2 linked regions of the Kluyveromyces lactis genome follow. The protein of the gene in region 1 interacts with the protein of each later gene in a biochemical or structural test. Links are inferred from orthologs where the notes say so. Each region holds a gene or a part of one and is shown on either strand. Other genes may lie near its edges.

Region 1 (2,384 bases):
TGGGACGATTTGAAACTCAAAGCTATCACCAAGATCATTATCTTGTCCTATACCACATCATTATTGATGCTTTTAACCCGATTGCAATTGAATATATTGGCAAGAAGAGAGTATTTGGATACTGCCATCAATTCTGCCATGGAAAAGGAAAGGGAAAAGAAGGCTAATCAATACTCAGTCTTATCTTGGTTCTCTAGTTGGATCACTGAAAAGAGCAACAATTTACCCAGTGAAAAAGCTGACCCAAGAAACAGCGATGGTACTATTGACACGGACACAAGGAGCATTGCATCCACTGCGAACCCTGAAAAATCGAGATACGTTAACGAACAAGCTTTCTTATCCTTATCGTGGTGGTTATTAAACCGTGGATACCTACAATACAAGAGTATCATTGAACAATTGGTGAAAGAAGAGTTCCAAAATTCGAACCCAAGAGATATCATGACAATGGATGAGTTCAGTGGCAAGATAAGCAAGATATTCGTCACCACAAACAAGCAATTCTTTCAACAGCCACAATCGAATGAAATGTTCATTTCATGTCTACTTCCTGAACCTAACTTAGAGAGATTTGTTCTTCAACAAACTTTAGAACAAGATGCTTTGAAAGTACTATACGAGGATAATCTATTACTAAAACAACTTGTACAAGAGACCAACAAATGCCTACAATCACCTGGAACATGGATTGTCCTGGAGTCTTTAATCGATGAAACATTCCACACAATCATGGAACAAATCGAGGATAATGTCAACAGCAAATCGAAACCTAAATCGAATGATGACGACACCAAAGTAGTCGATATATCCAAAAATTCATATCAAATCGCATTATTCTCTATCGCCACGAAAGACTGCACAAACGAAATGTTGAAAGCGGGACTCGTATCAATGAACAACAAGTTCCTACAGAAACTACACTCCATCTCGGCACTTGACGATCTCAGTGCATGCGTATATAGTAACTTCGGTCTATGAAAACCTTACTTGGCCCTCCATTCAAGTACTGAAATCGCTCCATACCGTGTATGTAGATAGTTCTATAGTTAACGTTACTCTTTCACTGGCACTACGGGGTTTCTCTTCCTGTTTCTTTAATGGCCACGTGATCATAATTTTCTTTTCCTTAAGGTCAAATAACGAAAAGAATCGAATTCCCAACAGGTTGTCAATCAACATGTTATACATCTCAGTTAATGTTTGCAAGTGGATAGGAGCTTGGTGTTTGTAGTTAGTTAGCACCATAGAGTTACCAAGTGGGTTCTATTTAGTACCAGAAAATCATGTCCAAGGAAAACCAGAACGTTGTTTTAGTGAGTGTTGAGGGAGAGAGATTTGTCGTTGACAGGAAGATCGCTGAACGCTCACTTTTACTAAAGAACTACTTGCAAGATCTTAACAGTGGCGATTTGCATGATGATAACGATGCTGACGATGACGAAGATGATGAAGAGGATGGTGACGATGAAATAGTGATGCCCGTGCCCAATGTGAGGTCGTCAGTATTACAGAAAGTGATCGAATGGGCCGTTCATCACAAGGATTCCAATTTCCCCGATGAAGATGACGACGATTCGAGGAAAGCTGCGCCTGTGGATCCATGGGACCGTGAGTTCTTGAAAGTGGACCAAGAAATGTTATATGAGATTATTCTAGCAGCTAACTATCTAAATATCAAGCCATTGTTGGATGCTGGATGTAAAGTTGTTGCGGAGATGATTAGGGGCAGAACACCTGAAGAAATCAGAAGGACCTTCAATATCGTTAACGATTTCACTCCAGAGGAAGAAGCTGCCATAAGACGTGAAAACGAATGGGCAGAAGACCGTTAAACTTACAAGTTTTCTTGTTGTTTTCTCTTTCTGTATCTACATCCTCTTCAGTTTAAAATAGCAATTTCCCTCATTTCCCGTATGTAATCAATAATTTAAGTACTTGCTTGTTAAGCGGATCTTAATTGAAGTAGTGAATTTGAGTCATGGGCAAACGCAGGGATCGCTTTCATATCGCATTTATAGCTTCAAGGTCTGTCTCTGCACCGATAATTTTTCATTTTTGTACCTATATATAATATTTAAAGAACGCGCTACCTTAAATTGAAACTTTTTGCTTCTGGTTTTATCTATTCAAGGCAGAACTGCATCGATAGATGCACCATAGGACCCTTGTTACTGGTATACTTGGTGTAGGATTGTGATGACGTTGACCATTGGTGAGGAGACCAAATCCAGACTAAGATCGCTAAGCGGGAATACTAGTTCGTTGCTAAATTTAAACAAACGCAAGAAGAAGAACAAGGAAAAGAAAAAGGATAAGGACAAGAGTCAACCAAAGTCTCAGGGCAATACACGTGTGCTACGGTCTACGAGTCTGAAACCCAA
Region 2 (3,550 bases), on another chromosome or scaffold:
GTACAAATCGATTCCGGTGACTTGACTCTTTATTTCAATAAGAGAATGAAAACTATTCACGTCAATGTTGCTAACCCATTGGACTGCCGTATTTTGAAGAGTTTGTTCACAGACATCAGGAAACAACGCAATATCAATGAATCTCAATTCGAATATCCTAATTTCAAGGGATACGTTTTCCTCACTTGCACGATAATAGCTGATTTGACTATCAATGGATTGCCATGTAAAAACGTCTGCTCGAAAATCGATGAGATCAAAACCAATGAACAAATCTACGATTTCAGTAACGGCGATGGCATGATGCCAGGTTTATCCTTATACGTTGTAGGGCCCTCACTTTGGCGCTTGGGGGTAAAGAATGAGCATATCATCTTCCTTCCACTAAAATTGAATTGTATCTCAAATTTAAGACAGTTCAATAAGAATTTGCAATTTGTCTGAAAGAAAGTCTTTTTGCGCAGAGTCAGACGTTTTTAATTTTTGACCTATTTCCACTGAATTTTTTTACTGCTTTCCTGAACTGTTACTTATGTAACATCTTCTCACCGTCTCCCATCATTTGCATATTTCATCTCTCATTATCCTCTTAACCTCTTCCTCTTTGTCAGCTCATCTTAGCCAAATTTTTTCAGTGCATCATTCTATTATCTAAAGTTTCATTCTTCAAGCTTTTCGATGTAGGAGTCGCATATTTTCTTTACGGAGTTTGACACATTGGCCAGCTAGTACCAGTCGAATCTGCTCATCTTCTCGTTCACTGCTGTCACAAATCTCATTTTAAAAACGTTTACTTTTTAAGTTGTATTATTTTTGCTTTTACGCGACTCTCGTGATTCGAACGGAGGAGGTTTTTTATTATAGACATTGTTTTTTTTTTTTTAGTATATATGTATTATTGTTCACAGGCTTTTTTTGTGTACTTGTCGCAGCTGGCGACACATATTCGTTAACCAATCATTCAATTATCGAAAAGCTTGGTACTCCATTTTGAATTTGGCTCATTTCAAGTTGTAAAAAAAAATCTTAAATCTCTTTGTAAAACGGTTCATCCTTATGCAGGGGAACTGCTGATCATCTCTGTATTGTTTCAAATTGACCAAATGTCCATAAAACCACGGAGGGTAATATGGACTAGATATTTATTCTTGTGAAATTCGTACTAACCATATCATTCGCTCACGTGACATTCTTATACATTGCCAATCATTTGTAAGCTACTGATGAATTAATACAAATGCTACCTTAGCCTCAGGAAACGCTTGTTAACTTTTGCACACGGAATGCAACAACGCACTCAATTGATGAAAACAGCACTAATATAACAGCACAAATGCTCGAACAGCTTCCGAACGAAATATGGCTTGAGATACTGGGATATTTATCTCAAATCGAAAAATCATCCTTGATGATGGTATCTCACCAACTTTACGATAAAACAGTGGCGTCACTCTACCAAAACCTATATTTGAACGAAAGACCAATTATACACATCCCAGAATATCCTTATTTTGGCAACAACTGGTCTACGCTTGTGTTTTCTGAAGCAGGGCGATCATCAGTTAAGTTTCAAGCGCTATTCAATACTCTAAGCAAGAACGTTGAACTTTGCAAGCTAATAAATAAGATACACTGTACTTGGCATTTAAATCGGAATTTATTGACAAGGTTTACCGGGCTCATATGTGAACATGCGACAAATATTACTTATTTTGAGAACTTTCTATATATCGAAACATTCGAAACGATCTCCAAGTCTCAGCTTGCATCGCAGTTAAAATCCTTAGACATAGTCCCGCATGCAAAACTTCCGGGGCCTGCATATGCTTCGTACTTGACTAGCATAACATCTATGGCAAACAAATTTAATTGGGCCAATATCAAGAGCCTTACAATATACTTTGATGCACTCATGTGGTTCCCAAACTTTGTCCCACTATCGGAAAAGTTACAGTTAACTGAACTATGTTTAAATCTTCGAAATGATTCTTTTCCAGGATTCGAGAGTGCACCAAGAACATCAAAATTTAGTGATTTATTTGATGTGAATACTTTGGAAAAGCTTTCCATTTTGTCGTGGTACGAGACGGAAACGTTGGATGTATACGAAGAGTATGGTTTGTTCGATCTTTCTAACTTTAAAAACCTCAAAGAGATTTCGTTGTTGTCTATATTTTACAACGAAAACTTCCTATTATCCTTGTTTTCTAACCTCACTAGATTGGAACAACTGAAGTTAGACTTTATGTTTGATCACGTCTTATCTAAAGACATCCTTACCATTTTATCTGGCATCAAGACGTTGAAATACATAGATTGTAAATTTGACGACTTGGATGAACCTATTCTTGACGTAATTGAACTAGACGACTTTGCAATATTTGAACTCAATCAAATGTGCCTATGCGATAGTTGCAAGCATGTTTACAGTGACATTATTCTCAAAAAATATTTCCCTACCAAACAGGCTTTCATGATTCAAAACTCGAGTGATATTCATTCTAAACATTTCATCAACCATATCTTTAAACTCTACCCAATAATCCCTTATTTCCATTTACTAACAACGTCCCCCTGCATTGCATACAGATCAAAGTCAATTGAAGAACTCGCTAAGAAGAGTAACGAGCTTCTAAATGACCTGTTTTACGAATATGAATCTGACACTACTGATACTAAAATAACTCCGGAAGATATCGTTTCTTTGTATCATTGTATATGTCATTCAATGAGGAGAACTTTCGACTTCTTTCTAAAACTCTTCCCCAGGTTACATATACTGGTTATCAACGATATGCCAACTATCGTTGATGAACAGGATGAACAAAAATTTACGAAGCCAATATTTTATTCATCTGGTTACGAAAGTAATCAAGTATACCAAGTCATTAACGATGAAACACTATTTGATTAAAGAAAGAGATGATAAACTCAACATAGCACATGACACATAGACTCCAATTTCGTACAAACTGTACAAACCATAAACTTTTATACTCTTGCGGTATAAAGCATCTGACTATTATCCAGATTTTTGAGATATTGTGTATACAGATTGTTTAAAAAATGTAAACAAACGGATTTGATTCAATCGAGATGAGACGTAGTTGCGGGAAAAATGATCGTTTTAAACAAAAGAGAGACGACACCAGCTGCCAAAATGGAGTCACCATCCAAAATCCCCCTCCAAGAACTTTCTAGTAATGCGTCTCCACCTTCGTCAGCCAGTGGAGAAATTTTCAAACGTCTTTCAGTATCACCTAATAGAAATCGTAAACTCCTGGAGAAGCCTGCTGCCAGGTTATCACCACAACAAAGAGTTCAAACCCCAAAGAGGTTGCCTTCACCTGATATACTTGGGCCCAATTTAAGCCTTGATAGATACGAGCGTCAGAAATCCAGTGTTGTGAAGATAAACGAAATAGTTTTCCCAAATTCGCCTACAAAGGCATCTGGAGCGTTAAGGAATGTACCAGTCCTTGGAGGTGACGGGTCACTATCGAGGATAAGAAACAGATTCAAGATCAACAACGCGAGTCCGGTGAAAGCG

What was found. The genes of interacting proteins can lie anywhere in the genome.
Region 2: the proteins of SKP1 (region 1) and KLLA0_F19943g form a complex in vitro, tested with the Saccharomyces cerevisiae proteins (2 studies listed by BioGRID). The link is inferred for Kluyveromyces lactis from reciprocal best matches to the Saccharomyces cerevisiae genes SKP1 and YDR131C.

What each region holds. Positions count from the first base shown.
Region 1 is NC_006041.1:1,507,336-1,509,719, reverse strand, and holds SKP1 (SCF ubiquitin ligase subunit SKP1), read left to right. Parts: upstream 1-1,286; coding exon 1,287-1,835; downstream 1,836-2,384. Other genes in the region: PEX3 (Pex3p), read left to right, coding at 1-981; YSP2 (Ysp2p), read left to right, coding at 2,200-2,384.
Region 2 is NC_006042.1:1,856,288-1,859,837, reverse strand, and holds KLLA0_F19943g (uncharacterized protein), read left to right. Parts: upstream 1-1,333; coding exon 1,334-2,914; downstream 2,915-3,550. Other genes in the region: KLLA0_F19965g (uncharacterized protein), read left to right, coding at 1-444; FIN1 (Fin1p), read left to right, coding at 3,119-3,550. UniProt on the Saccharomyces cerevisiae protein: Substrate recognition component of a SCF (SKP1-CUL1-F-box protein) E3 ubiquitin-protein ligase complex which mediates the ubiquitination and subsequent proteasomal degradation of target proteins. Probably recognizes and binds to phosphorylated target proteins.